Xenopus tropicalis: one gene and its partners. The protein of the gene in region 2 interacts with the protein of the main gene of each other region in a biochemical or structural test. Links are inferred from orthologs where the notes say so. Each region holds a gene or a part of one and is shown on either strand. Other genes may lie near its edges.

Region 1 (10,912 bases), on a different chromosome or scaffold from region 2:
ACAATGCCTTACTTGCTCTAAATAAACAAATACAACAGTGAGAATGCTCCTGCTTCTCTAGAAAAAAAATGTAAATATTTGATGGGATAGAGGTTAGTAATAAAATCTGCTAAAAACTGATCCTGAGTGATTTCTACACTCCAGTTCATACAGTCATGTGTTGTTGACCTAATAAAATGATGCACATATTTTTATGAAGTTCCTGATGTTCCAAGTCACTCTTTGAAATATGAGAAATGTGACATTTGTTTTAGAACAATGCAGCTTCCTTTCATTTCATTAAGTATGATGAACCATTGTTTGTTTTACATGGAGAATGGGCACCTGCCATTTCTGTAATTGTTTGCACAACGAAGAAAAGTTGTGCATTCACACACATAACTGTCATATTACTTTAATATAAAATCTACCTGTCTATTTTCTTTAAGGGGATATAAAGTGAAAAACATGGCAATGATGCTTAAGGCAGGCACCATATATCTAAGTATCTCTATAATTTATTAGAATCTAAAACATGTAATGTTGCAAGAAACTGCAATTCTGCTGTTAAATGCACGATGCCTGTTCCTTACCATTATCTGCCCCAGTGGTTTTGACCTTTGAGACAATCCAGCAAAAGACAGAACTGCGAAGAAGCATGGTTGGTGAACTTCTGCTACATTGTTTCAACAGAGAAAACCAGCAGTGCAGAAAGGTCTGTCAACTGAAATTATAAATAAGTTTACACCCATTGAAAAGTAAATTAAAAAGTTTCTTAGAATTACATTTTCTTATAAAGCAAACTTTTTGGTCTTTTAACTCCTGCACAAACTCTACATGTATCTTCTTACACTTTATTAGTATAAAAAACTTGCGTGCACACACAAAAAGCTGCATACAAAACTGAGTTTAACAGTCACGCTTGTATGGAATTATCCTGACTTTACCAGCAACATGTTGCTGAGAGACAATGAATAATAGAACGGAGTGCTACTCCCGGCATGCCTTTGCTGGTACTGCGGTTTCCTGGAGACAGGAATGTCAAGTTCCCACCCAGGTCTCCAGCCACGTAGGAACCCTCCCTGCCAAAGCCGACTCCTCCCTTCCTCTTGTTTGGGAACGGTGGCTGGGGGTGAGTGACGGGGAGAGGGAGGAGAGAGCATTCTGAGCAGGTGGCTGAATTTCATTTTGAGACAGGTGCATAGCAAGGCGAGCCAATGAAATGACTCACATACCTAACATCACTATGGCATAGACTCAATATATCTCTATTCAAATGAGCTGCTGGGTTCTCAGTGCAGATTTAATACAGGTATGCCACTTTATTTGCCAGCAACTCCCAAACTAGATACAAATTCAAAAGCTATGACTAATAATGGCAGCAAGAAATATGCAAAACATACAGTGACAACATCCACATCAGGGACTTACCAATGCATATTAAACAATTCATTAATTTAGTATGACCTTAAAACTGGTAAAATCCATTAAAAATGTTCAATGCAGTTTAGTTAACTGTAGACCATCCTTAACATTAATATTAATCAGATTTTTTGGGTTTTTTTTAAAGTGTGTTAAACAAAGTATTTTAAATATGAAGGATTAAACCAACTGGCCAATACAAAAGTCTATAAGATCCCCAAACTTGTTCTCCCCCTGTGTATAAAGCACAGCTAGTAAGGACAGCGTTCCATCCTAAGGTGCCTAACTGAGTAGTCCCGACAGACACCTGGCCTGCTGCCTCACAGCCCACGACTGTGGTTTACTGGAGCACATAAGGACATACCACATGATGCAGGAACCGCAGTTGATTTTAATAAAGAGGATGGATCTGAACCCTGTTGCTGTCTACAATAAGCCCTGCACCCCCAGAGAGCTCCCAAATCCTGATAGAAGATACAGTTCTGCATACATGTGATTTTATGCTTTTAAGAGCTTTGGTTACCCTTTATTTAACATGACTGCTGCCACCCTGTTCTCATTTTATTTTCCAGTCCCCTTCAACTGGCACTGAGATACAGGCATTAGTACTGTTCAATATATCTATGGGAAAACCTGTTACATTAATCCTAATGTACTAAGGCACTTTAATAATACATCCTGAATGGGGTGCAGGTAGGTGCCCACACAATGGGACACACTGTATTAGAGCATGGAATGGAGTCGGTTCCAGTAGATGTCCATACACTGGGACACATCAGTATTACAGCATGGGATGGGGTGACACTAGGTGCCCACACACTGGAACACATCAGTGATATAGGATGGAATGTGGTGCCTGTAGTTGCCCACACACTGGGAGAAATTAGTATTACAGGATGGAATGGGGGCCAGCAGGTACTCACACACTGGGAGAAATTAGTATTACAGGATGGAATGGGGGCCAGCAGGTACTCACACACTGGGAGAAATTAGTATTACAGGATGGAATGGATTGCCAGTAGGTGCCCACACACTGTGAGAATTTAGTATTACAGGATGGAATGGATTGCCAGTAGGTGCCCACACACTGTGAGAATTTAGTATTACAGGATGGAATGGATTGCCAGTAGGTGCCCACACAATTGGACAAATCTGTAATACAGGATAGAATGGGGACCAGTAGGTACTCACACACTTGGACAAATCAGTATTACAGGATGAAATGGGGGCCAGTAGGCGCTCACACACTGTGAGAATTTGGTATTACAGGATAGGATGGGGGCCAGTAGGTGCTCATACACTGTGAGAATTTAGTATTACAGGATGGAATGGATTGTCAGTAGGTGCCCACACACTTGGACAAATCAGTACTACAGGATAGAATGGGGACCAGTAGGTACTCACACAATTGGACAAATCAGTATTACAGGATGGAATGGGGGCCAGTAGGTGCTCACACACTAAGAATTTAGTATTACAGGATGGAATGGATTGCCAGTAGATGCCCACACACTTGGACAAATCAGCACTACAGGATAGAATGGGGACCAGTAGGTGCTCTCACAATTGGACAAATCAGTATTACAGGATGGAATAGAGGCCAGTAGGTGCCCACACACTGGGAGAATTTAGTATTACATGCGGGAACTGGGGCCAGTAGGTGCCTACACACTGGGGCACATCAGTATTACAGGATGGAATGGGGGCCAGTAGGTGCCTACACACTGGGGCACATCAGTATTACAGGATGGAATGGGAGCCAGTAGGTGCCCACACACTGTGAGAATGTAATATTACAGGATGGAATGGGGGCCAGTAGGTGCCTACACACTGGGACACATCAGTATTACAGGATGGAATGGGGGCCAGTAGGTGCCTACACACTGGAGCACATCAGTATTACAGGATGGAACTGTGTGCTAGTAGGTGCCTACACACTGGGGCACATCAGTATTACAGGATGGAATGGGGGCCAGTAGGTGCCTACACACTGGAGCACATCAGTATTACAGGATGGAACTGTGTGCCAGTAGGTGCCTACACACTGGAGCACATCAGTATTACAGGATGGAACTGTGTGCTAGTATGGTGCCTACACACTGGAGCACATCAGTATTTTCAGGATGGAACTGTGTGCTAGTAGGTGCCTACACACTGGGGCACATCAGTATTACAGGATGGAACTGTGTGACAGTAGGTGCCTACACACTGGAGCACATCAGTATTACAGGATGGAACTGTGTGCTAGTAAGTGCCTACACACTGGGGCACATCAGTATTACAGGATGGAATGGGGGCCAGCAGGTGCCTACACACTGGAGCACATCAGTATTACAGGATGGAACTGTGTGCCAGTAGGTGCCTACACACTGGAGCACATCAGTATTACAGGATGGAACTGTGTGCCAGTATGGTGCCTACACACTGGAGCACATCAGTATTATCAGGATGGAACTGTGTGCTAGTAGGTGCCTACACACTGGGGCACATCAGTATTACAGGATGGAACTGTGTGCTAGTAGGTGCCTACACACTGGAGCACATCAGTATTACAGGATGGAACTGTGTGCCAGTAGGTGCCTACACACTGGAGCACATCAGTATTACAGGATGGAACTGTATGCCAGTATGGTGCCTACACACTGGAGCACATCAGTATTATCAGGATGGAACTGTGTGCTAGTAGGTGCCTACACACTGGGGCACATCAGTATTACAGGATGGAACTGTGTGCTAGTAGGTGCCTACACACTGGAGCACATCAGTATTACAGGATGGAACTGTGTGCCAGTAGGTGCCTACACACTGGAGCACATCAGTATTACAGGATGGAACTGTATGCCAGTATGGTGCCTACACACTGGAGCACATCAGTATTATCAGGATGGAACTGTGTGCTAGTAGGTGCCTACACACTGGGGCACATCAGTATTACAGGATGGAACTGTGTGCTAGTAGGTGCCTACACACTGGGGCACATCAGTATTACAGGATGGAACTGTGTGCTAGTAGGTGCCTACACACTGGAGCACATCAGTATTACAGGATGGAACTGTGTGACAGTAGGTGCCTATACACTGGAGCACATCAGTATTACAGGATGGAACTGTGTGCTAGTATGGTGCCTACACACTGGGGCACATCAGTATTACAGGATGGAACTGTGTGCCAGTAGGTGCCTACACAAGGACACACCAGTACTAGAGCAAGGAATAGGTGCCAGTAGGTGCCCATACCCTGGAATACAGCATGGTTACAGGATGAAAGATCCCACATAGACAGGCTGAGCCAAGACACAGGATGTAACAAGATGTATGTATAACAGAAAGGAATTAGAGACTCCTGCGCAGGGTACAGCAGTAATGCTGCATGTTACTAGTGTGCCAACTGGTACCCTTGCCTGGCACACACCAACATTACAGTATGAGGTGGGAACTGGTGCCCACAGTGCAGGGCACGGTTACATTACAGCAGGTTATGGTATGCCATTAGGTTCTCGTAAACTTGGACATATAAATATTATAGCATAGGGGTGCCAGTAAGTGCCCATGACTAAGGGCACACAGTAAACTGTACAGAGGTACGAACATGAAAATATGAACTGGATGTGGGCATTACAAATGGTACAGAACAGCTGCAGTTTAACCTGTAGGTATAAAATGCTTGCACCCTTGAGCACTTTTCTATACAGTATACTGTATAGCACTGGGTATGGTAGGCTAATAGCGATATATCGGTAAAGTTCTACATAAATACATACATACAATTGTGTATTGCCAGGGACGGCGGAACAACAAGAGCGCGTAAACCAATAATTAGAGCAAAAGGCAGCGGCGTGGCAGCTACAATCCACTGCTAACTCCATAAGTGCGCACTTACTGTGAGAGCGCCTAGCTTCTCCTTTCTCCGGTCCCGCCGATAGATATCCTTCCGACACATACAGCACAGCCCTCCAGTCCCTCACGGCAGCCCAACACACTCTGCCAGCCTCAGTCACCGCGCTGTCACCGCCCGCTCCTGCCGATTGGCTAGCACGCCTCCTCTTGTCCGTGTCCCATTGGCCATTTGGGCTGCCACTCCGGAACACACAGGAGCCTTTTGTGCTTCCAAGGTTTATTCAGGGCAAGGTTTAGTAACCCTTCCAGCGCTGGGAAGTAACTCAGCAACACAATTCTTACAACAAAGCTCTCTTGAGTTATACGCTGTCGGAGAATGTGAGGAGAATTAGATCACACTGGCTGGCTACCCACTGTTTGGGGCTATCTGCCTTATTTTATTGTGCATTATAAATTAGTACTTGGAAGCTTGGCAAAGTTCATAGGGCATAAGGACATAGGGTATCTTGCTGACGGATCATTTACCTGCATGTTTGCGTTACAAGACCTGTAGCAAGTATCTTGGCACTCAAGGCAAGGGTCTATCTCCCCAAATGCTTTTAATACACCATTACCCCTATGTAGTAGAGTTAGAGATGGGCAAAGACCAGGTAAGGTAACAGGGTGGGGAGGAGAGACAAGGATCTGGAATTAAGGTGGCAATACACCGAAAGATTCTCACTAAATGCCAGGATACAGGCTGTTGAGATGAGGCCAGCAACAATGCACCAACATGCTCATCCTCCTGGCTGGATTTTTAACTTGCATCAGGCAGATATCGGTTGGGTAGGCTCCTCTGAGGGCCCCATACACAGGCGATATACTGCTGACTGACAGAGAACAGCTTTTATAGGCCCCTGGATGGCCCCCATGAAAATGAGCCTTTGAACTAGTGTGCTGCTGTGTGTGAAATAGTTGCCCCTCTTGGTACCTGCCTGTACTGCCTACCTCTAGTTCTGGCCCTGTTGCACCCTGGATGGGTGTCATAGTCAATTGGGCTTGACCCCAGGCCAAAACTTGCAAGGCGAAGGAGACTCCAACGACCTGGTGGGTCTCACCCTAGCTTCGGTGACGTTGGACCTACCCATGCCTTCGGGTAGGACTCACACGCGATGATTCAGCATCATTGGGTTAGGACTGGGATTCAAAATAAGCCCAGGCATTTCAAACACACAGAGGCCCAAACAGCCCTCCATTAGCCCTATAAATAGTGACTGTTTATTTGGCATCTTGCAGCAGCCCCTCTGGCATTTGCCGGAATCCATATATTGCCAGTCCGTGCCTGTATTACATGGTCTTGCTTTTATACTAGTTAGGTTTCACAGTGGTAACAGTCATATAACATTGTACAGGGCTCTCAGATTTTTATATTTAAAATAGGTGAAAGAAGGAAGGGGAAAAATATAATTAGAGAGTGTCATAGAAACAATTTAAGCAAACCACACCCATTATAAAGGCCACACTCAGTTAACATAAACAAGATGAAGGCATAAATAAGGGGTTCATTTTAAGCCATTTACAGGTTTCTGGCTGAAAACCAGTACACTTGCAGCAAAAAAACAGGAAGTACAGAAGCCTTTAGGCTGTTATACTTGGTTAATAAAGAAATACTTTCTGAACAAAGCATTTCTTGGTTATGGGAGTAATCTTTTTTTAGACAGCATGCTGAAAACAATCTTTTGTCAATATTTTGTCCCTTTAAATATAAATGTTCCTTTAATAATCAAAAAAGTTCTTTCACCATCAATATTAACAGATAAGCATTTCCTTAGCTTCCTAAACAGGATATGGGATTGACTTGCAGAGTGGGGCCTCTGACCTGCAGCTTGTGCAGATCTGCAAAGCGGTGGGATATGTTAGCCTGCCCATATTCTGTATACTATTTGCATGAAATATCTTTTATGGAGCTCCCATATGTCCCTTTTTTTTTAAACTGTTTCCCAGAGAGTTTGGTGTTGGGGCACTATATGTCTCAGTTTTGTCTCTTTGTGTCCTGGTTTCACTCAAGTCTAAAAGTCTAAAAATTCCAGCTTCTTGCATTTTTTTTGTAAATGCTTAAAAATGTAGGTGTGGCATGGTAAAAATATTGGCAAAATCATGCACCACATATTTTTTTCTAGCATCCCTTTGTATTTGGTAAAACTTAGAAGCCCTATTTATTTATCTTTCATAGACCCGGGAAAGCTGTCAATAGGTGCTTTGGAAAAGCAGCAGATGGTTCTTACTAGACTTGAAGCAAGTTTTTTTTTATTATTATTTATTTATTTTCATTATGATCAGTTTAAGAAAGACATTTTCCAAGGCTATAGTTAAAGCCACAAATGATATATCAATTTATTATATAAATATATATTTTATATTTAATTTATATAGGTAATGATGTAACAGCTCTAAGGTTACAAGTTATAGAGTTATAGAGGCCATGCTGAGTGCTGGTAGCTTCTTTAACATAAGGGATAGGTTGTTTGTTATAATAAACAAGAACAGTGTAACACAAGTGACATCATTAAGCACTGATTAACATAGATGGCATACTTTAACGCAATTTATAACTATTTGAACAACTTTGTAATGACTTTTGACAAATAAAATGATATTAACTACATAGTTTTGTTGCTCACCCACAGGCCCCTCCTGATCATGATTTCTGGTACAATAAGTTAGAGTAAGCCAGGATGGACTCCTGTTAACCATAATGAAGGATATTGTTCAATCATAAAACAGAAAAAAAACAGAAAAAAAGTTACCTATAGGTCATGTTTCTTATTTTTTACTGATAGGGCTGCTTTTGTAAGTAATTGCTACTTGAAGATCCTAAACCTGACTGTTTTGCCAGCCTGACTGTCCCGTCTCAACCTGTCAGTTATAGCTTCTAATGCTAAGGGACTCCTGCTGCACAAATATAGCAGCCCCCTCATAGAGGAACATGGGGATTAGCTAGGTAATGTAAAAGTATTGGGCAAATACATTTATGGCAAAATTATAAAGAGCATGCAAAGACAATGTTATAACAGTTGTAAAAAGGGTTTCATTTCTGGCGTCAGTATCTCTTTAAGCATGTACCTATTCTGCCTGTCCCTAGTTCCAAGCCCTAAAGTCTCTACCCTTATTATTTACAATAAACATTGTTATTCGGTATAACATATTGTTATATTATAATGTATAAAGCCAAATGTTAACATTATTATAAATAAGAGTGGAGGTAGTTTATAAACACTGGCCAAATTTGCACTAGGGCAGAAACCCATGGTAGAAATCCAAATCTGTCCTGCTGTGTGACCCAATGGAAAGGAAACATTACAATAGTTGCATTAGACCAGAGGTTCTTTGAGATCCCTGAAGACTTGGTGCTGGTCCATGACACAATTGTTGGAAAAAAAGATCCTCTTTTGACAGCATTGGGGGATGATTATAGAGCTGAGTTGTTGTATCTCACCAGCAGTGCAAGGTACTGACAGCCAACACCTTCCCAGCTGCCACTTTCTAGTGCCAGATGCTGTAGAGGTCATGGGTCATATTTTACCCTTGGTGCATGGCGCTGCTTTCTCTGCACTCTTCAACGCTGGCCCGCATTCCCACGCATATATATAATATAGAGCTCTTATTCAGAATCCTCTATATTTTTATGTATATTGAGTACAAAAGAGTCAAAATTATCCTGTAAATTATAATAGTTGCTTAGTGATGCTATTTTTGTCACATGACTCACTAATATTGCCTTCCCCCTCATCCTTATATTTTGCAACGGGGGTATATATATATATATATACATATATATATATATATATATATATATGCCATAAAACAATACTGCTCTGCTTCCACCAGCTAGCAGCTTTATTTTGTAACCTTATAATTATCTGTGATCCCTGGGCTACAATTTACTGCAGGAACTCTATTTTTGCAAAAAGCCTTTGGATGTGCCACCTGTTGCTGTTAAGTCAGAAAGCTTATTATGGTTTTTTGTGGCCTCACTCACAGTACATAACTGCCAGTATTTGAAAATAAATAAAAAAAAAATCCACTCTAGGGCATATTTATCAAGGCGTATAAAAAATAGTATCAACATACTTTTTACCATGGTATACCATGTAAAATCAAGAAATTAATTGACCCCTGCATTTTCCCTCAATGGTTTATACTAGAGTGGAGTAAAATAATGGCCTGATTTCATAGGTAAGCATAAAGTTTGCTACTGTTCTAGTAACCCATAGCAAATAGGCAGGTGTTTGCTTTCAAAGAGGTGACCAGTAATAAATGCTACCTGCTGACTGGTAGCTTGGGTTACGAGACCATTGGCAAATGCATCTTCTACATTACTTTCTTTGTTCCTCTACTTTGTCCGCAGTGTGATCTCTTATAAAAGGCACATACACCCTTCCCAAAGTGCTCATACTGTTGTAATAATTGCATTGCCCTTGTAATGATGCTTTGTTTTTCTCCCCTAGATTTAGTGCTCTTATCAAACAGTCGCTTGTATCCTGCTCCCTGTGTGCCCCTGGAGCTCCCCTGTGCTGCAGCCTGTAGTGGGTGTAGTTAGTGATAGATGGACTTAAAACAATGAATGTCTGGAATGTAAAGGGCAGTGATCTGTGTCTCCTGATGAATATGATTTATTTCACTGAGTGATTCTAAGCAGGCCCTTTAAAATGTCCATTTCCTTGGGGACTTCCTGCAGAGTGTGCTCTGCCCTTTGCCATCCTGTCCAGCTCCACTTGCATAGGAGGAGCAGGGGACTTGGTTTTGCATTGTGCTGGCGCAAAGAGGTTAATCAAGTACAAGTACAATAGCTGGAAAGGGGAGAGATAGGGGGAGAAGCTGCAGAACTGTGACAGCCTGAGAAATTCCATGGCTAAGCACAATGTTTCTCAGAACATCAATAACCATGGCTTTCTCTGTCAAGCAGGCTTAACTTCACATATATATGCTGAGCAAGTTTAGCTCATGCCTGCTACGCTGTAAACTGGGGTGTGTGCATCCCTACAAATAAAGCAGCACGGTGTACAATAGGGTGTGAGAAAGGTACTAAGTGGAGGGCACCATCAGCAATTACTATTAGTCTGTATCAAAAGAAAATGTCTCTCTGTGGTTACCAGTGGGGAACTCTGCAGCTGTTAATTCACATTTTAATTGTTAAGGGCATGTTTATTAAGGGTTGAAAACAGATCACACACTTGACAGATCTAAAAACACCTAAAAGACACCTCTAAAAATAATATTCAAGAGACAGGAAATGCCTAAAGAATGCTCAACCCCCAAACAGAATTTTAATAATTATGCCAATTTGCCATGAGTATATGGTGCAAAGTACAAGGTCAGTAGTGTAAGTTGCAAGTTGAAGTTATTTATGATGATATTTAAAGTGGTGGTTCAACTTTTAGTAAGATATTGATATCCTGAGACAATTGGCAATTGGTTTCCATTTTTTTGTTTGTGGTTTTCCAGTTATTTAGCTTTTTATTCTGCAGCTCTCCAGTCTGGTATTTCAGCAGCTATCTGGTTGTTAAAGGCTTATTTACCCTAGCAACCAGGCTGTGATTTGAATGAAAGACTGATATATGAATAGGCAAAGGACTAATTGGGAAGATAAGAAATAAAAAGTAAAAATTACAATAAAATTGTAGACCCACAGAACA
Region 2 (10,812 bases):
AACAGTATAAGGTTAGCTGACGCGGCCGAGTCCTGGTCCTATGGAGGCCCCACGGGGGACACGCATATACTCTGCACGAGCACAATACCGTAGCAGCAGGTACCCCCGGACTGTGCACCTCACTTTACCTGACATCGCCTCCAAAACGCATGGACAGAAAGGCTGGTACGTGGACCTGGCTGAAACCAGTTAAATTATACTGCCTTGGGTCCCCAAAGTGTGGCGCTGCATGCAGATTGAGAATTGTACACAAGAGGGCTGTCCAGTATATTAATGGGGTTACTGTAGCTGTTGAGGAACGCGCTGTTGCTATGGAGCGCTTCCACTATGAGACGGGTGCTGCACTCTCTCCAGACTGACAGGTTGGGGTCTCTGCCAAGTTTAATAAGCGGGGCATGAATGTGTGTGTGTGTGTGTGTGTGTAACTGCTTTTGCTAAATATACCAGTCGAGTCATTGAAGAGTGAAATCATGAACATTTTATACATTCTTTGCTCACCCTTTCCCACAAAAAAAAGCCACGTAAACTCGTTTTGTTTTAGATTTCTCTTTTTTACTTAAAAACCATATTGAAAACAAGACACATAACTGAAGCCACCCTTCAGTTCTTGAATCTCAAGAGTGTAAACATGGACAAAAAATGATATATATAATATATAAAATATACATATAAAAATACTGCAGTTTTTTTTTTAAATTCAGCAGCGCAAACTGAATTAGTCAGTACAACTTCAAGGCCACTCTCCAAATAACTCCCTTCTTTCTTGTAGTGTCACAGATTGGGAAGACATTACTCATGCCAAGTGGGTATGCAACTGGTTAAAATGCTGATTCAAGAAGCATGTCATAGTCCTTCCAAAAACTGCATTAAGGACCAAAAGTATAGGCAAAGGGAAAAATTCTTATACATAAAAACAGTATTGAGTATTGAGTATAATGTATTTTTTTTCAAAAAATTTCCCCTTTAGAACAAATAAAAACATACTTGAGTTTCCTGAAAAAAATATTTTTGCAATTTCCCAGTTCTAGCAGACTATGTGGCAAAGCACTATCCCTTAATTAGCTTACGATGAAGCAAAAGGGAAGCAGCAGTTTTAATATTAGAATTTAATGGAGACATATCTGAGGGTGCCCCTTGTTTCCCAGTGTAAAGATAAACGGTAGCACTGCATATTGACCCCTCTAATTGTGAAGAGTTGTCTGGGAATCTTTATGTCCTTGGGGAGGCTATAGCTGTCTGGAGCACCCTGGTAACGTCTTAGAGTTCTTCAAAGAAAGCCACTCTGCACTGTGTGCTTTGAAGGGTGAGCTGAGAAGAGACAAAAAGAGAGGTTAAAGGAAGCATTGCCATCAGCAGCAATTAATACTCTTATTAAACTGTTATCTATCAGGAATGCCTACATTTACGCTTTCTTTTATCACTTTTACTCCCTGTATTCTTCTGCTGCACTGCAATTCAGAGCACAAGCTGCAAAAACTGTAATAGCAGACACATTGTCCCCAGTGTGTGGCTAAACCACATGGCCAACGTGTTTGAGTACAGTAGTGACTTCATGCTAAATAATTCAGTTCATAGCCCCAAGAATGCAGCTTATGCATTACACACTGCACACATACAAAGCTCCTACCCTCACATTCATATTAGCCTTTGACTCCCAGGCCTTTTTTTTTTTGATGCTGAAATTAAACCTGCCTAAATAAAGACTACTTAATAACAAACTCAAAAACAGAGTAACAAAATGTGTTTATTTCTTTACATTCTATAAATTATTTCTTCTCTGTGGCTTATCATGATCGTTTATATAATGCAAGCAGGGCTTCCCAGGCTTCCACAGAGTAAGCTTTGGGTACTGACACACATATAATAACCCTAGAATCATTAGGGCTGACATAGGCATTGCCAGGGTGGAAGTACCACAGCTGGCCTAGACAATGTGAGATTGGGTCCAGCGCTACACAGACCTGGCCTGGACACATGCAGAATAATAATAATACTAAGGACCAGCAAAGGAACACCTTGAAAGCAACAGCTGTTACATATACACTTAGGAAGCCAGGGTATGGATTGTACAAACATTTTGCTGTACTGGACCAGGCAGATCCGACAGTGCCACAGTTAACAAGGACTGCTGACAGATGAAAACAGTTTAGTCTATCCTCAAAAGCTTGTCACAGTATACATCAAGGCCTTAACCAAAAACACCTAAAACAACTGGAATGCATTGTTTTAGAAACATAAAATTATGGACTGAACACTGTAGTATAAAATCTTTAAGAGTAATTTCACAGCACAAAAAATAAAGTAGTTGCTGCAACTACTACCATATTTGGGGTGCTATAAGTGCACTAGAACCTCCTCATCCAAGCAGACCTTACAAGTGCTACCTGAAATTCCACATGAATATTGCAACCTATTGACATCATGCACAAATGGGGACGACACACACAACTTGCAAAGCAACAATATTAGCAATCCTTTCAAAGGGCTACTGTTTTATGTTTCATCCCACTGATGATGCATGCCAACTGTACAGAATATACAGTTAGGAATAAAGGTTTGTGACTATGTGTGTGTGTGTGTAAACAAAGGTTCTAATGTTGTGCATATGGTTTTCTTCAGTATATCCACAGCACTTGTTCTTTTCAAGTGTGCAACAGTCTTTATTTGCAGGGATCTTCAGCACTAGGAAAACATGTGACAGATTTTTAGTGGAGTTATAACAGGCAACTGGAACACAGACAAACTCTGCTAAGTTTCCGCTCTGATGCATATTGCAGGCAGAGCACTGCAGGCAGGGAGGGGGATTCCCTAGGGCTGCCTCTGGCTGCCCCCATTCTCTCTGCCGACCGGCTTAGCTCTCGCATCCAATTAAGGGTGATGCGGGGCGGCTGGCTTCCCTCAGAAAATAGAACACCTCATGTGTGAGAATCAGGGGGTGGTAGGAGGAGAGATGTAGCTGTGGGAGAAAGGAAACCCCTGCGAATGATGGGAGGGGGAATTCATCAAATTTTTAGATCATCACTTATCTCTTGACATTCAGCCGCAAGTACCCATATTATTAGGGGTTTACTGCAATTAGTTCCATATTCAGTAAATTACAGTTAAGACTGCAGGGAATACTGAACTTAGATTAATTAACACTTCCTTTAATACTATAATACACAAGGAATTCAAGGAAAAGAAATCACAGTCCCTAAAATGTTATGCAGAAGATTAAATCATTAAGAATATGAGGGGGCATTTTCTGGAGAACTTCTTATAGAGAATGTAAGCACTGAATGCTGCAGGATCTGATAAGATGGGAAGCATAGGGATCAATCGCAGAGAAAGTTGTGAGCAGCAAGTTTAAACAAATAAAATGTAATGGTGCGGATTTACTAACATAGGTGCTAAACTGCAACTTAGCGCATAGCAACCAATGAGATTGTTAATTTCATGTTTAATCTGGTTAAAGCCTAATCAAAATTAAAAGCTGATTGGTAACTATGGGCAAATATACTTTTTGCTATTTAGGCTTATGTCCCTTGGAAAGATACAGTCACCTGCGATAGATCTCTTCTGTCGTGGTTAACTAATCTCTCCAAAATGCCTTTCCACTGGCAACATCACGAATTACAGGTGGAATGGCCTACACATAGCATTGACTTTCTGAAGTCATGCAAACTTGTCTGCAGGAGGAAACTTTGTGTGATTTTGGAAAACCAAACTGATGCGTAGGCATTTCTACCAGCGATTTATATTGTTGTATTGTCAGTGGAAAGGCATTTTGGAGAGATTATTATTATCATTTATTTATAAAGCACCAACATATTCTGCAGTGCTGTACAATAAGAGATTAGTTGAACTGCGGACGACTACATTTCCTCATGGGACATCAGCCTTAGTACCTGTGTTTGTAAATAAGTATGAATTTCCGTTAACAAATCCTGGAGTGCAGACTACGGTCACACCTCCAACACCTAACTGGACTTTAGCAGTATACGGACCACTCCATAACTGACATTTAGAATGCATATATATATATATATATATACGGTATACAGATTGTGCTCGAAACGTTGGAATTTTTTCAATAAAACCACTTTTTCTTTTGTATCAAGTCCCTGTGTGTGCGGCACTCTTTCTACTATATATATATATCAAACTCAACAGTAGAAAGCACTCACAGCTACAGCATCAATCAGGTCAGTGATTTATTTCAGCATACCATCTACACGTTTCGATCACCACAGGATCGTCATCAGGATGTATGTATATATATATATATATATATATATATAGCAGGACACTTGATAGAAAAAGGGTGTATCGACAGATGTACTTTACAGCATCAGCTCTAAAGGATGGATGATGTGGGCTCAGCACAATGTTGTCATACAAGTAAAGAATGACACAGCACCCCATTAATAGTACTGAATAATGGACTAACTGGAAAATAACAGATAAGACATTTTAGAGTCTTGCACCAGAAACGTCACTACACCATAACCACTAAAGTGTTCCTAAATCACATCAGTGCAGCGCAACACTCAACACATAGAAAAAAAGGCATCCTGATTTTGTTTGGAATGGGTTATGCACACATACACACAAAAATTAGTGTTACACAGACTGTGTTAGTGGTACACACACGCTCACAATACCTGGCACACACTATGGATCACGCTCAGATGCAGACAGCTCTCCTCGCCTAACAGAAGAAAAGAAAAATGCCAGAATATTTGAACACAGTTAACTGACAGGGACCAGAGTACCACACCTCTTCCTTACGCTTAATGCTTGCACATGGTCTCAGCTCTCCATGCATGTGTGTGAGTACTGCCCATAATAACTCTCCACCTAAGCACACATAATAATTCTTTATAGCACACACATTACTATATTTAAACTTTTTCATATCTGTGTTTACCTTTTATAAATCTGTGAGTCCTTTCCCCAACTACATATGTACAAATATGCTGTTCTTTCATTACCCTGTAAATCTGTTTGCCCTGCTTTCTTTCCCATTTGTGCACATTTTTTGCATGAATCCAAGTGCATTTGAACTGCCTTGTGTATCTGTGCACGCACTGTATGCAGACTCACCTTTTTAATTGTGTTCTGTTTGCTGCCTGCATTCTCATGCATTATATCCATGGCACTTTCTCTTTCCTTCAGTTTTAAGGACTCTATTTCTGTCTTGAGCTCATTCAGCTGTTCCTGTAAGTGGCGACTCTTCTCCATGTACTCAACCCTGAGAAACAAATAAAAGTCAGAGAGCCCTTACTTACTTCAGATTATCCTTTAAAGTTAGTACCACAGATGTGAAATTGGAACTCCATGCCCTGAATGACACAAACAAAAAGACCCATGGACTAAGCAACTAAAACAAATGGGAATGAAGCATGTATATTCATAGGGTTTCCTTATGTGTGCATTCTTAGTCCAGGATAAGTCCAACAAAACTACACACTTGGTGTTGTAAGCTGGAGACTTCATTCCTAATAAGCAGAAAGAAATCAGTTTACTGACATGCTTACAGACCCATGCAGATTTAACAGAAGCACACACAAGTTTAAACAGGATAAAAGTGCTGCTCTAACATGTGACTCATCCTGTGAAAATGGGCATAACTGGTTTAGAGGATGCATGGAAAATGTTTATTTCTATTATGCAACCCCTGTTTGTTGTACTGCAGTACTAAGTTTTGGATTTCCTCATTTATTTGATTCCACCCCCTCCTTTTGCAGAACACTGCAGCCAAGGCATTTTACTAACGATTTTGGTCTGTGGTGAAAAATTCAACAGGAGAATATTGACAAATCTGCACCCTGAAGTAGGGAAATATTTAATTGGAAGTTAAGAGCAGGTTGTGTGGATAATATGGAGGGGGGTTCTTTATAAGCATAGGATTCCAGGATATTAGGCCCTTTTAAAAACTATCTATAAAGGATTTAGAAGTGCTGTGTCAGTGGCAGCTATGCCACCCTAACCAGTCCAGTGTAGACAATATTTTATTTAATAGTACTTTATATTTGGCAAAATTTCAGTAAGTTCAATAGATGTATATTTACAGTAGGACTAGTACATCTGGTTTTGGTGTTACAATAAGTAAAATTATCTGAAAAGTCTGAAAATGTTTTTCCCCTCTCAATAGCTTTTGTTCAAATGTTTACAGTACTGAATGGGGCTTTCCAAATATAAAATATCTAGATTTTTTACCTGCTGTGGAAAACATTATAGTAAATTTTCCATAAAATGTTCTATGCCCAAGAACAAATTTCCTATGTGCACGTTTATTTAATACTGCAACTGGATGTCTGTAATACAGCTTATAATACAAGTGATAATTTATTAGGTGTGCAACATAATGACCTTCATTATCTGTAACTCTGTTATATTCCATTATACGAATTTCTGTTCATACTTAAAGTGCGGCTCACCTTTAAGTTAGCTTTTAATATATAATTTATAGAATAATTATAGACTGTCCTATACCTAGAAATTGGTCTTCATTTTTTTTTCCAAGTCCTTGAATTATTTGCATTCCTCTTCTACATCTTTGCAGCAAATGAGGGTCACTGACCCAGACACCTAAAAACCTATTGCTCTGTGAGCTTACAATGTTATTAATGCAGGCCCCCTCCTATTCATATTTTAGTCTCTCATTGAAACCACTGCCTGGTTGCTAAAGTAAACAAGAACCAAGCAACCAGATAGCTACTGAAATTCCAAACTGGAGAGCTGTTGAAGAAAAAGCTAAATAACAAAAAACACAAATAAAAAAATGAAAACCAAATGCAAATTGCCTCAGAATATCATTGTTTACATCTTAATAAAAGATCATTTAAAGGTGAACAACCCCTATAACAAGGTCCTAACTATTAAGTGAATTTCTTTTTCCATTTGCTCACTTCTCCTTTTCAATTTCCATGGACAGACGCTTCATATCTGTGTCCTTGAAATCGTAGGGTAGACTATCACTGAGCATGCTGAAGCTTGGCACATCTGTAGGTGGCACAGTGCTGCTGCTGCTGGCGGCCCCTGCTGCTTGCTGTGGAATGACATAGTTTAGATTTAGATGAATTCCATGCATATTCTTGGAACAGTAATTGCAAAGTTCAAGTCTGACAAAATATATAGCAAAACATGAAGTGTCCTTGTTTTGATACCTGGGCTGAATTTCTAAAAATTACTTTGTGCTAAATACTAAAGGTCATATTTCCTTTGCAAGGTAGTGATAATATAATGGAACAGTCAAACTGCTGTTTAAAAAAAGTAAATACCTTCCATTCTACAAAGTTTGGAAAACACTCCCTTTTTGCAGTGTGTGTTTTATGACTGAGCCTGTCTTTAATCAAACCTCCATCAAATATGAAAGGGAGCTGGAGGTAACGAACCCCTCTTACGCCATATCAGTTTGAGATATACCTGGCCAAAGCATGTTTTTCCACTGCCCCTGAGCAGAGTCAAGATTGCATTTGAGCCTGGAGTGGGCTCTGAAGTAGATATGCTAGCATTATTATTTATATATTATTATTACTTACTGTTAATTACAGAAAGTTTAGCTATTAATGGTTTACGTGATCTACTAAAGTTTATGTAATCTCTTTTTTTGGGTGGCTATTTGCTATCACTCAAGGAATTCTGCCTGGGAAGAGGTGCACACCTAATCACAGGAACACCCAGGATAAAATTATGCCTAGCACTACAAACAGCAAATTTTTGTGATTCTGAATTAACCCTTTAAAATATGCAGTCTTGACATTTACATGACATATTTCAGGTGATGTAGATTCTACATTATTATTCTACACTTTTGTATTTCATGGGAATCCAGCTTGCACTTCTGCAAGCCAGCACGTAACAGGTTAATTAAATAGCTTGCTGCCAAAAAATGAATAGTTTTAAGAAGAATTCCAGATGATATGACACCAGTTTAGGTGTTACATTTACATAGTAATCATAACATAGTGAATTCCACCACCTGTAGGAATAAAATATGTGTCTGTTTCCTCAAACGTGGCCAGCAAGTCATGCACAGACACACAGGGCATGTACAATACATGTTTTGATCAGGGCTGTGGAGTCGGAGTCGAGGAGTCGGAGGCAATTTTGGGTACCTGGAGTCGGAAAAAAATTAACCGACTCCTACTAAATTTAAATACGAATAAAAAAAATAAATAAAGCAAGTTTAAATGTCCCAATTCACAAACAGTCATAATTAATTACTTCTCTGCTAGAGTAAAGCCCAATGCAAAGCCAGTAGTTCTGTGGTTAAATGACATGTATGTCTCCTTCCTTTCCTTCAATGAATGTATAAAATACATTAGCATATTAAAAACAGAGGAGTCGGAGTCGGAAGTATCAGAAACTGAGGAGTCGAAGTATTTATCTACCGACTCCACAGCCCTGGTTTTGATATCAGTGATGCAGATCCATATGTAGCTCTTTTATTATTGTGCTGTTGCTGTATGTTTTCTTACACTTCTGGACCCAAAGCTAGGCATAAGTGAAATATGTTTTAGGTTTCCTATGACAGTTTTCATTTAAGAATAGATACAATTAAATCATTATGTACTGAAAACTGACAAACAGCTTCTATATCCTACTGAATGCCCAGGATGGGTAACATAAATACAAACTTCATAAACCCACTTCTTAATGTTATATATAAGTAACACTATTAAAGAAAGTTTTATGGGGGAATAAGGAATAAAATCATCTACAAAACATCCCATTGAAATACTTCAGTTTTTTTTACAGGTTTCAAATTAGTGCTGGGCAGTTTTATGTTGACCAATATAAAGGTTTTAAAAACACCACATATTAAGGCTACGCTGAGAATTGCAATGTATGATATAACCCTTAAAGAGGATTTACACTATAAAAATTATTTAAATCTTGTTTCCTTCAGTCTTGGAATTCACAATCACAGCAAGCAAGCAGTTGCCATTTTGTGGCACTGTTATTAAGACAAGCTTTTTATCACCCCGAAATCTTGTTTATGTGCCAGAATGGGGGGAGGGACAACATGCACATGCCCAAACACTGGCTACAGAATTAGATAGTAAGGAGGGGGTAAGTAAGAACTGCAGTGACATCATGGACAGTGCAGAGTTGAAAGTAAAAGTAAGTGTTGCCCCGCCCCGTGAGGCAGGCACTATATGTGACTAATTGACAGCTGGGATTTTTAAATAGCTTTATAATGGGTATGGATGTGTTCATAAAGGAATTTGAATTTAATACATAATTTTAAAAGGATTTTTATCATACAGCTTTGTGTGTCTGTGTGACAGGTCCTCTTTAAACTGCCTTGCTAAATACAGTTATCTAGTTTAACATACAGTTGGGTTGAGGCAGGAGTTCATACCACCGTCACCTGCTCTATTAAAAACAGAAAACTGCTGATCATAATACCTGACTGTATGCACATGTATGTCATCTGGGGTGAAAAAATGTACAGATCACAATTAGATTGCAATTGTCTTGCCAAATGATAATTTTACCTGTCACTGCACCAACTTGTAAGCCGAAATGTGCATCCTCATATGAGGAAGTGGCTGCTATTCCTCTCGTTTGATCTACTCATTCTGGCCAATATATGGCACTTCCCACCTGATATGAATAAGCCTGTACACTGGTATGTAAATTTACTGAACATTGCAACCAGACAGCTCAAATCTCACGGTGCAGAGAGGAGGAGCATAATAGCAAATAATTTAGACAGACTGCATGTTCTCCTAAACTTCAAAAGAGTTTGTTATGAAGTCTCCAGCAACAGTGACCTACGCTCCCTTTACATGTTGTCAGAACTATTTGCCTAATTAGGGGCCTCCAGCTCTTTTCTATTTATGAGATATAGACATCTGATTCAAATCACATGAACGGGAAGGTTACTGCTATTTAGACAGCTCACCATATAGGAGGTTTTACTAGATATCTCTAGAAGCTTTTGCTTAGCTCGACGTTCTGAATCCCGAGCCTCTTGCAAGTCTTGCTTGAGTTGCTCAGCTTCCTTAACTCTAAACAACACGAGAGAATGAAAGCAGTTAAAACAACTTAGTTCAAAAAGAAGCATACAGGGGCTCATTTATCAAAATTGGGCACATTTGTACCTGGTGCCCATACACATGAAGATTCGCTCGCTTGGCGAGGTTGCCAAGCAAGCGGATCTTTACCCGATATCCCCACCTATGGGTGGGCGACATCGGGGGAACATGTGGGCAGTTCGGGGACCGCATCAACAAGCAAAACTGGGGGACAAAAGCTGCCATTTGTAACTTGCAACATGCTTAGCTGTTGCTAAAATACAACTCTCAACATGCTGGTGTTAGTCCCTTAATAGCAGCAGAAGCCCGCAGGTTAAAGATTACTTTGGTAAAAAAAAGTAAAACAAGAATAACTATTACAAGGAATGAAAAAAGGCAGTGTCAAATGCAAACTTTACCTCCGTTCTGATTCCTCTGCCATCTTTATTGCCAGCATTTCTGTCTCCATGACCTTTTGCTCCATTAACCGCTTTTCTTCCTCATTGCGAATGGCTGTGGCTTTGATTCTTTGCATTTCTTGTTCAGCCTCTGCTGCTTTCTGGGCCAGTAGTTTGGCTTCCTCTTCTGTGATCTGAGCTTTTTCTGCCAGTAGGTCAGCAGTCTCCTCTGACCGCATCTAGGGAGAACAGCAATACAGAGCTGTTTATTAGCAATCCCAGATACAAGAGACCTCAAATAGTAACAGAAGCCTGACGATGCTGCAAACAGCTTTCATTCCCCATTAGCACAATGACTTCTCACATGTTTAGTTAGAAAGTCATTCAAGCTTAGATATGTATGG
Region 3 (10,812 bases), on a different chromosome or scaffold from region 2:
TTATCCAGAATGCTCAGGACCCAGGGCTTTCCGGATAAGGGATCTTTCCGTAATTTGCATCTCCATCTTTTAGCCTCCAATAAGGATTGATTATATCTTAATTGGGATCAATTACAAGGTACTATTTTATTATTACAGAGAAAAGGGGATCATTTAACCATTAAATAAACCCAATAGGGCTGTTCTGCCCCCAATAAGGGGTAATTATATCTTAGTTGGGATCAAGTACAGGTACTGTTTTATTATTACAGAGAAAAGGGAATCATTTAACCATTAAATAAACCCAATAGGGCTGTTCTGCCCCAATAAGGGGTAATTATATCTTAGTTGGGATCAAGTACAGGTACTGTTTTATTATTACAGAGAAAAGGGAATCATTTAACCATTAAATAAACCCAATAGGGCTGTTCTGCCCCCAATAAGGGGTAATTATATCTTAGTTGGGATCAAGTACAGGTTATAGAACTCCTTGGTAACCTAGAATATCCTTATACATTACAAAAGAGGGTACTGCAGAGAAAGCACCCCCCCACAGTTGCAGGGTACTGGATACAATACATCGGCCAAGTTTCTGAGAAGGAGATTATAGCTAAAACCTACAAAAACAGCAGGATAGAATGACTGAATTTAAAGGTTAAAAAGATCCCCTGAATGAAGGCTTAGCTATTTTCCCTTTGGATGTAATTAAGGCTCGGGAAGGCAACACCAGTTCAAACATAGCCTTTGTACTGTGTGAGCCTTACACAAGCACGGGTCAGCCGGTGCACAAACTAGCCCTACATCACACTCAACCAAGCAATACGTTTACACTGTCGCCTGCGACATAAACATAAATACCCAATAAACATTGAGTCGGGTTTGAGAAGGGAAGCGAGAGCGCTGCACACTGGAAGTGTAAGCAGATTGTTGTTGTATAAAGAGGCACCGGGGAAACAGTCTCCAATCCTTCCAGCACCCAGCGGGAACTGGGCCAAGCCCGAGAGTTTATACTAATCGTCTGTGTGTTTACTTTGAGTTCTCAGGCTGGATTTGTGTCCCTGGAGACACTAAACAAAAGCATACAGAGGAGAGTTAATGAAGTCTCTGGATATTTAAAAACGAGGGGGGGGCACTTCGGTAGGGGTTCCATAGCCGCTAATTTCATGTCTTAAGTCTGGAATGTAAGTGTGGACATTGTGACCACCACCGACTGGGGCTTAGGAACATTCTAGCAGGGTTTTTTAGCCCAAAAACATAGGGGCAAGCGGAAACTGCAACCCTATTTGGGTCACACAGACTGACAATCTATGGGTACAGGCAAATGCCATAGACAGTCACTATTTATTGGGCTGGGGGGGGGGGGGCTGTTTGGGCCTCTGGGTACTGGGAATGCCAGGGCCCAGGCCCAGACTGGCAATCTCTGGGTTCAGGCAAATGCCAGAGGGGCTGCTGTAAGGTGCCATAGTCACTATTTATTGGGCTGGGGGGGGGGGGGGCTGTTTGGGCCTCTGGGTACTTGGAATGCCAGGACCCAGGCCCAGACTGGCAATCTGTGGGTTCAGGCAAATGCCAGAGGGGCTGCTATAAGGTGCCATAGACAGTCACTATTTATTGAGCTGGGGGGGCTGTTTGGGCCTCTGGGTACTTGGAATCCTTGGGCCTATTTTGACTCCGTTTGGGCCTGCGTGCAACTGAATGCACTAATACACTGAAGTGATACTTCTAGAATGTCGATTAAACCCCCCCCCACTTCCTTATCTTAAAACCCTTAAGACTTACAATTACCCACATCCCCAATGTGCTACACTGTACAAGTATGAAATTCATGGTGAAATCCCAAACTCCCGGGCAGCTCATTTCAGCTTCTAAATCCATAGCACACAAGAATGTAATCCTGTTCAGTGTCACATGTTACGGACAAAGGATTATTGGAAATGTCAACACAATGAAATAACCAGAGTTATTAGAGCCTTAGTGGCCATGCAGGCACAGATCTGATTGGGCACGCTGGCCGATTTCAACCTTACTGGGCAGCCTTTTATTCAGTGGCTGCTTTGATGGACCATCTTGTGATCCTTCTCATACTGCAGTTGGTCTTTCTGAACAGAATTCTGATTAAACAGAAGGCTGACTAGGCATTATGCCCATCTGTGTGTATGGCCAGATCAGACAATTTCCAGCCATTTATTCCAGTCAGCTATACCCTTTAACAGATTACAATATAATTCAGATAAGGTGCCAGCCATCTTACGATTCAGTGCCAGGCCTAACTATAAGAGCGCCAAGGCAACTCCCGGAAGTTCACCAGTCCTCCCCACCAGTTAATTGTAATGTGTATTGTCACCTTATGATCTTCAGTTGCAGGAAGAATTGTTCATTTTCTCCAACGTTAAGAGCTGAACTGTCAGATATGCAGGTAGAAATAATAATTCTACCCTTATCTGGCATTTCAGCATTAACTTTTGCCAATGTCTGGCCACCTTCAAAAGGTGCCCAGTCAAAATTTCCCATCCTGTCCATAGTCAAGACTACGGATATCCAAGGATTTTGCCGACATCGGTCACCTCGACAGATGCACGCACAGGAATCCTATGCGATTACCGAAAAGCCAAAACTAGGGGCAGCCAGGCAGAATGTATGTGCCCAGTGCCTCTGCCCACCCTTGCGCCTAGGCACATGCCTCTTCTACCTACCCCAAGTTATGGGCAGGAATCCAGACAAGCCTAAACTAGGAGAAGGCAAGCAGAAGAGGTATGTGCCATTTGGAGGAACCCCAACTACTCAGCCAAACCAAACCTAAGAAAGTTATGTAGGTGTAAAGCTACAATTCTTAGCTTGCAATGTGCAAATTAGAGCTCTGCATTCATCCAGATCTATTGCAGAGTCTGTTTGGCTGAACCCAAAAGTTATGGATGTGGTGCATCCCTACTTCAAAGCTTCCGCGGCGGATACCGCCGATCCGAATAGGCACAATTAAGCATATAAACCACGGCTCGTGCAGACTTTATGGCAATGTTTTTACTGAAGATGTATAGAATAAAGGTAACAAACGCCTATAACAAAAAACTGTTTGTCCTTTAAGATGGACAGCACCAAGGAGTGATGGGAAAGGAGCATGATTATATAAGAAGGGGGAGGGTGAAACCACTAAGATAATTAGCGTGATTAGGATTATTCTCAAGGTTTCCACAGCAACCCTTTGTTGGCAGTAATGCCATAAAAAGCAATGATACAGAGAGAAGTAATCCCTTTGACATAATGGCAATCCTATTGAAAGATAGTTTGCTGTGCAGCATTACTGAGAAGGAATAGGTACTGTAAATCCCACAGCCCTCCCCTGTTCCACCTGTTAGGCAGAAAGCTGTGTTGGTGCAATCTATATAATCTGGTTAACGAGATTGCAGAGGCGGGTGAGGAAAAGACACAAGCAATATAGGTTACTCGCCTGTCAGATGCTGTTTTCCCGGAACCACATTGCACTCCTTGAAGTAGGAATCTGCCTCTGGGTCCAAGACAAGCAAGGAAGTCTCGTCTCCCCCTGCCTTGATGGCAGCCACCACATCGCCATGCTGTTTCCCAATCACATTTAAGCCATTAACCTGCGAGAGATACAAAGACCACCACAATAACAATGCAAGTTTATGCTGACCCGAGAAATTTCAAAATAATTAAATCGCCAGGTCCTGGTTAGAGACTTTCAACTGCTGCCATATTGCAGTGACATCACTTCCTAAATGCTACTGGCAGCCAATACCATAACAGTGCTTTTTAGCCTTGGTTCTCCAATACATGATCAAGGGTTAAACCAACATGATCAAAATTATTACCTATTAGATAACGCTTGACTGAAACTCCCAGCACCTTTTACCATCAAATGGAAGCATAAAAGTTTCAATAGACTTGAAGGTTGAAGAAGCCTGCAGATTATATTTTTAAAAAAATGCCAGTACCTCAGATCAAAGGTAGTTATGCTGGGTAAACGTATCAGTTATATAAAAAATATAATGCTTAGAAAACTGCCGTCACCTTCTGTTTTAACTCTTCTCCCCCCCCCCCGAACCATGAAGTACAGTACAAATAGCCCCACCTACTATTAAGGCATGACAAGCTAAAAGCAGAAATAGAAAGGAAGGGGGTCTTTAAACTATTTTAATTCCCTAGGGCAGGGATCAAAAATCTTTTTTTTACTGTAAAAAGTGTTTGTGAGCCACACTAGCCTGAAAAAAAGTACTTTGGAGATGCTGAAGGACTGTAATTGGCTATTTGGTAGCTCCGTGGAGACTGCAGGCCTGTAGGGGGCCTCTCAGAGCAACATCAAAGGGGGTGCTGAGCAAAGTGTCGAGCCACTGGTTGGGGGATCACTGCCCTGGGGGTACCACTATGTCCGGAACCCCATGCTACCACTAGTGTGGCTCATACCTCTACAATGCGATCCTTGGGTAGAAGCCCTGCAAGTTCTGCTGGTGAGTCGGGATCCACCGCTCGTACAAACTGCCCTGGGTGAACCTTGTCACTGTGCAGGTTGAATCCGAAACCACTTGGTCCTTTCTTTATGGTGCAGAGTCGGGGTCGCAGCTCCTTCTGAGAGACACAAGGGTAAGATATCAGTCACAGTGCTTTAGTTTTATAATGAGAGGTAGAACTCATCCCTCACATCTCCAGAACTGTGGGCCCCCACACCAGCCCCAGTAGGCAAAGAACAGGTTACTAGCAATAAGTTAGCTGCTTCCGCCTTCCCCCAGCATGCCTCGACACGACAAATCTTCTCTCCTTCCCTCTGCCCAACTCAGTTGGCATAAAATTGGCACATGAAGACTTCTAAAGCCCCAGCCAAAAGCGGTCAAAAGGGAGTGCCAAAGTAAGGGGGGGGGGGTAGATGAAAGTGCAAGCAGGACACGAAGTCTGTATAAAAACAGAAAGGCTACAATTGTCTGAGTCCACACTGCGAAAGTAAAATGAGCATCCAGCAATGCGACTTAGTTCTACATATGAACCGAGTCGACCCCCCCATGCTGCACACAATGCACTCTTGCAGGGGAGGGGGGACCTCAGCTGAGAGTTCGTTAGCAGCTTGGCAGGGAAACAAGAGGAAGTGAGGAGGCCGCAGCGAGAGTGACATGCGGGGGGGCAAGTAGAAGAAGTTCACACAGTAATGTACCAAACACCAGACAAACCTTCCTCATTCCCAATATATGGTCAGATTTGTCCAAATACCCCCAGCCGCAACTTCATTCTGGTAGCAAACTTGCCATCTATCCAGCGAGGGGCCAACAGGATGGGGAAGGGGGAATAAATCATTAATTGTAGCCTTTTGCATAGTCGGGCACTATAGTGGTACTTACCCTATCCAGGACAGGGGTGGGTTGCTTCTCAGTTGCCTAGTACAGGGGAAGAGAAAAAGAAAAATCAGAGCCATATATACATAAACATGCAGTATGCCATCCATATTGCCCCTTTATAATAATCACTGATATTGACTGGTTAGAAACGTTGCACTCATTGGGGTAACTACTATGCAGCAGGCCCCATAAATGCAGGAGGGCCCCAGACTACTTAGTACCCCACATTTATCCTCTGCAGTCTCTCGTGCCTCCAGCGATCATCCACCTTCCCTCTAGCCTTCCGACTGGCCAACTGCCAACTGGGAGAAGGCGGCATGATCAACACAGCGGGGTCATTACTCAGTGTGGTGGGGGGGGGGCAGCTAAAGCCCTGTTACATATGAAATATTGGCATGCGTCTCAGTGTGCAAAATAATCCATGACAGAGCCAGGAGAGTATTTATATATACTATTTAATGCTCCATTTCACACCCCTAGACCCCAGTATAGCCTACTGGATGAGAAAGGAACACGTTCAAGCAGGGAAGAAACTGGTGTGAAAGTGGTGGTTTTAACAGACCTTTTCTCAAGCCAACACCTCTCTAGAGCAGAACGTTAGCTGTACAGCTACACAAAATCATTGCACAACTTTGCAAAAAGGTACAATTTGTTGTCAGGTGCCAAGGTTTGGTTTATTTCAGAAAAGGGCAATGAGTAAGTGGGGCCCCTGAGACTTTTAGAACCCACTGAGTGAAACTCAATGACCTTTGCAGCCAAGGGTTCTCTTACCATTACCTTCCATATGATATGACACTATGGCACTGCCAAGGCTCTCCCTGGCATGGCTTGTATAGACTGCCAGAAAAATGCTTTTATTACAAGTGTCAGTTGTGACTGCCACTTGGAACAAGGTGACAGTCTTAACTACCTAGTGTGGGTCTTTATACTGAGCCGAGTAACCACAGTGGTCATGCTCACTCTGCATGTCACTGCCTAAAGACAGAGAATATGGTCTAGATCCGGGGTTCCCAACCTTTCTTACTCATGAGCCACAGTCAAATGGAAAAAGACTTGGGGAGCAACCAAGCACCATAAAAGTTCATGGAGGTGCCAAATAAGGGCTGTGATTGGCTATTAGGGGCCTCTATGCACCCTATCAGCTTACAGGGGCTTTATTTGGTAGGAAATCTTATTTTTATTTCAACCAAAACTTGCCCCCAAGTCAGGAATTCAAAAATAACTCCCTGGTTTGGGGGCACTGAGAGCAACACCCAAGGGGTTGGGGAGCAACATGTTGCCCCAAGCCACTGGTTGGGGATCATTGGTCTAGATAAAGTGGGCATTACTCAGAAACATATGTCAGTTCTACTTGGAGGAGGAGGGGGGGGGTTCTGATTGGTACATAGGCTGGTAATTGATGCCAATCCAGGATAATGGCACAGCTCCACCACCACCAACACATAGGGTACTATATACCCTTCTCTATAGAAAGAATTAAATACCCAAGTCTAGGATTCATGCCAGGCAACTGAGGCACTCAGGTACCCAGCTGAAGCTGCCACACCAGACTGGAGCGGTGCCATGCCAGGGCTGTCTTTAGTGCTGGCAAGGCCCAGGGGCAAAAAGCTTGTTGAGCTGCAACTGACTTTGTATCTAGAATAGTTGTGCCGAGACAGCCGAGCCTCTGTTATAAAGTCCCTTCCTAGAAGCCTTTCCTGGAACTTATACCCTGTGGGGTCCCGATTACTCTCTGGCCCATAGTTTGCTTCCCACTAATGACAGCGGCATCCATCATCAGCTTGGCTGCCGTGTGTGGCCGATCCACTAAACGGAGAATAGCGTACCCCCAATTGTAAATTATAAGGATATTAAAAGTTAAAGAGATCCATATAAGGCAGGTGTCCCAAACCTTTTTTACCTGTGAGCCACATTCAAATGTAAAAAGACTTGGGGAGCAACACGAGCATGAAACCTGTTCCTAGGGGTGCCAAATAAGGGCTGTGATTGGCTATTTGGTAGCCCCTATATGGACTGGCAGCTTACAGGAGGCTCTGTTTGGCAGTACACCTGTTTTTTATGCCTCCAAAACTTGCCCCCAAGCCAGGAATTCAAAAATAAGCCCCTGTTTGAAGGCCACTGGGAGCAACATCCAAGGGGTTGGGGAGCAACAAGTTGCCCCTGAGCCACTGGTTGAGGATCACTGATATAAGGACATGAGGTCAATGGTTGTTGGCATTCCATGACCAGTCTAAAACCACAAGGCGTTCTATTGGTCATGGAACAAATGGTGACTTCTAATATCATATTATATAATAGTGGTACGGTTTTTATAGACACAGTGAGTCATATGACAAATTACATCATTAAAATTAAAGATAACTGATGACATCACTATGCACCACGTAGAAGAACCCATTTTACAGGAAATCATGGCTCTTTGATTATATCTTTATAATTTACAGTTTGATCACTCCCCTATGGGATCCTTATAAACGGTGCCTAGTGATGTCATCAGTTATAATCAGAGCTCAGTGATGTAATTTCTGTCACACAAATCACTAAAACTTGGATATTATAATAAAGTGCCCCCTGTTGTAAAATATGAGGATATTACAAGTCAGCCTTCAGCTCATGCTTTTATATAGTAAAGGAACTCCTCTGTGACTTATAATATCCTTATATTTTACAATAGGGGGGTACATTATTCACTATATATTATAAGGAACTCCTCTGTGACTTATAATATCCCTATATGTTCCAATAGGGGGTACATTATTCACTATATATTATAAGGAACCCCTCTGTGACTTATAAAATCCCTATATGTTACAATAGGGGGCACTTTATTCACTATATATTATAAGGAACCCCTCTGTGACTTATAAAATCCCTATATGTTACAATAGGGGGTACTTTATTCACTATATAAGGAACTCCTCTGTGACTTATAATATCCCTATATGTTACAATAGGGGGCACTTTATTCACTATATATTATAAGGAACCCCTCTGTGACTTATAAAATCCCTATATGTTACAATAGGGGGTACTTTATTCACTATATAAGGAACTCCTCTGTGACTTATAATATCCCTATATGTTCCAATAGGGGGTACATTATTCACTATATATTATAAGGAACCCCTCTGTGACTTATAAAATCCCTATATGTTACAATAGGGGGTACTTTATTCACCATATATTATAAGGAACCCCTCTGTGACTTATAATATCCCTATGTTACAATAGGGGGGACTTTATTCACTATATATTATAAGGAACCCCTCTGTGACTTATAATATCCCTATATGTTACAATAGGGGGTACTTTATTCACTATATATTATAAGGAACTCCTCAGGGGCTTATAAAATCCATATATGTTACAATAGGGGGTACTTTATTCACTATATATTATAAGGAACTCCTCAGGGACTTATAATATCCCTATATGTTACAATAGGGGGTACTTTAGTCACTATATATTATAAGGAACTCCTCTCTGACTTATAATATCCTTATATTTTACAATAGGGGGTACATTATCCACTATGCAAACACAAGTTCAGCATTAGAAACTCTAGCAAGAGCAGTATATACCCTGGCACTGCATGGCATCACTTAGCAGGGGTAGGATACTACGTATAAAGCCAGCAAACTGCCCCGACCCCCCCATACTGAAGGGGAAGCTATTATCAGCAGGACTCCAGTAGGCAAGTCATGTGACCAGGTGCAGTGGGCTCGCCAGGCTGCCCCCATAATTCGCTCTGAGCCGAGTACCTTGTTTTCTTCTTTAGGGGAGCTGGGGGCCACCTCCTCCTCTACTCCCTGTACCTCCAAGGTGAGTTTCTCAGTCGCTGCCCGGATTTTGCTCACCACCTGCTGGTGCCCGAGTTCCCTCACATCCTCCCCGCACACCCGGATGAGCCGGTCCCCTGCCCTCAGTCCTGCTTTCTCAGCTGCTGAGCCAGGCTCCACCAGCCTCACATACTGGCCCGGCCGGGTCTTCTCACTGTGCAGATGAAACCCGTAGCCCGAATCCCCCTTTTCCAACACGCACACCCGCTCCGAAGCCATATCGAGCCGCTACTCTGCGCCTGACTGAACTCAGGCTCTGCCAGCTTATAGATTATATAGCGAAAGGGAGGGCGCGGCGGTGACAAATATGAGAGATGTCCAATAAGAGGGCGGGGACAGTATTGCCGAGGGACGTGATTGGAGGAGAAAGTTCAGAGAGAGGCGCGCCTATTCCAATGAGCTTACGCGGGATTCGGGCCCTCAGAGTAAAGTTTAATCAGTGCCGCCGAGTCATGTGACCCGGGGAATATAATACGGCCCATAGGCACAGGTGGCATCTTTACATGTCTGCTGTCAGTGAAACCACTTTAATGGGTCATTTGACATCCAAGCAGCATCTATAAACCTGTACATAGACTGACCCAACTGAGTATGACAGAACATAGAGTATTATTGCAGCACCTCAGGCAGCAGGGTGGAGCTGTGCCAGTGAGGGGAGGGGTGGGGGGGTTGATGATGGCAGCAGTGTTTATAATAGTGAGCAATTAGTGCATTCAGCATGGGGACTTTGCACTGGAGATTAATGAGCAGCTTGAGGCATCCAAAGAATGTGAGAGGAGGGAGCAGTACAACTCCCCAGTACCCTGGCATGCACCTGCCCCTCGCCTCATACAGCTCCTCAGGCACTGCCCCTCACTGAGGCTACCATTATTGTGCTGTTTAGCTCAGTGTTATTTGCTCACCGGGGTGCCATTCTAGAGAGCTGTGCATGACACAATATATATGCTGAATTCGGAAGCGGCAGAGGTGCGCACTGGGACCCCAGGGGCCCACCAGAGAACCTAAGACCATGGGCCCATTCTCCAAAATATCCTCCTTTCTTCACAACCATTTTATTCTCCTAGTCTGTTTTATTTACATGCTAGCATCTATTCTTCCATCTATTCCTTCTCTTTCTTCCCATTCAGAAATAGGGAATGACCATGAAACAGGCCAAATGGTCAGGAGCAGGAAGGCCCACTGACCCCTGGGCCCAGCGGGAGTTTTCCTGGTATCATGGTTGGCTGGTCCAACACTGGGTGCCAGGGTCGGACTGGGCCGCCCTAGTGGGCCCAGTCCGACCTTTGCCGGCGCTCCCCCTACTGACTGTTCCTCCCCTGACGCGTTCAATTTATACGCGCTCGGGGAGGACGTCAGGCGGGGGGGTTAGGGGGGCCCCTGGGGGGGTTAGGGGACGCGGCTGGGGCACTTGCAGGGCCCCTGGGGCGGGAGCCCCGGTGGGCCCTGCACCCCCCAGTCCAACCCTGCTGGGTGTGCAGCACATGGGGTCCCCCTAGAACGCCCCTCGGTTAGAACCACACAAGTCAGGGTGCACTAGGAGAACCAGTGGGTTAACTATAGGGGAATCCCTCCCCCACCCAGCTGTGATGCCCTGTTCCCCATGAGTTTGGTTGGTGGTGGGTTCTGTGAATGATGGGGGAGCCAGGCATCCAGAG

Evidence for each region.
Region 1: the proteins of nf2 (region 2) and amot form a complex in vitro, tested with the Homo sapiens proteins (2 studies listed by BioGRID and IntAct). The link is inferred for Xenopus tropicalis from reciprocal best matches to the Homo sapiens genes NF2 and AMOT.
Region 3: the proteins of nf2 (region 2) and slc9a3r1 form a complex in vitro, tested with the Homo sapiens proteins (2 studies listed by BioGRID). The link is inferred for Xenopus tropicalis from reciprocal best matches to the Homo sapiens genes NF2 and NHERF1.

What each region holds. Positions count from the first base shown.
Region 1 is NC_030684.2:52,195,907-52,206,818, forward strand, and holds the start of amot (angiomotin), read right to left. Parts: upstream 5,450-10,912; 5' UTR 5,281-5,449; intron 1-5,280.
Region 2 is NC_030677.2:144,758,518-144,769,329, forward strand, and holds the end of nf2 (merlin), read right to left. Parts: intron 10,648-10,812; coding exon 10,430-10,647; intron 10,005-10,429; coding exon 9,899-10,004; intron 7,034-9,898; coding exon 6,894-7,033; intron 5,234-6,893; coding exon 5,086-5,233; intron 4,691-5,085; coding exon 4,667-4,690; 3' UTR 4,644-4,666; intron 1,309-4,643; coding exon of another isoform or gene 1,258-1,308; 3' UTR 531-1,257; downstream 1-530. UniProt on the Homo sapiens protein: Probable regulator of the Hippo/SWH (Sav/Wts/Hpo) signaling pathway, a signaling pathway that plays a pivotal role in tumor suppression by restricting proliferation and promoting apoptosis.
Region 3 is NC_030686.2:43,959,035-43,969,846, reverse strand, and holds the start of slc9a3r1 (Na(+)/H(+) exchange regulatory cofactor NHE-RF1), read right to left. Parts: upstream 9,396-10,812; 5' UTR 9,377-9,395; coding exon 9,080-9,376; intron 5,358-9,079; coding exon 5,322-5,357; intron 4,561-5,321; coding exon 4,399-4,560; intron 3,579-4,398; coding exon 3,425-3,578; intron 1-3,424. UniProt on the Homo sapiens protein: Scaffold protein that connects plasma membrane proteins with members of the ezrin/moesin/radixin family and thereby helps to link them to the actin cytoskeleton and to regulate their surface expression. Necessary for recycling of internalized ADRB2.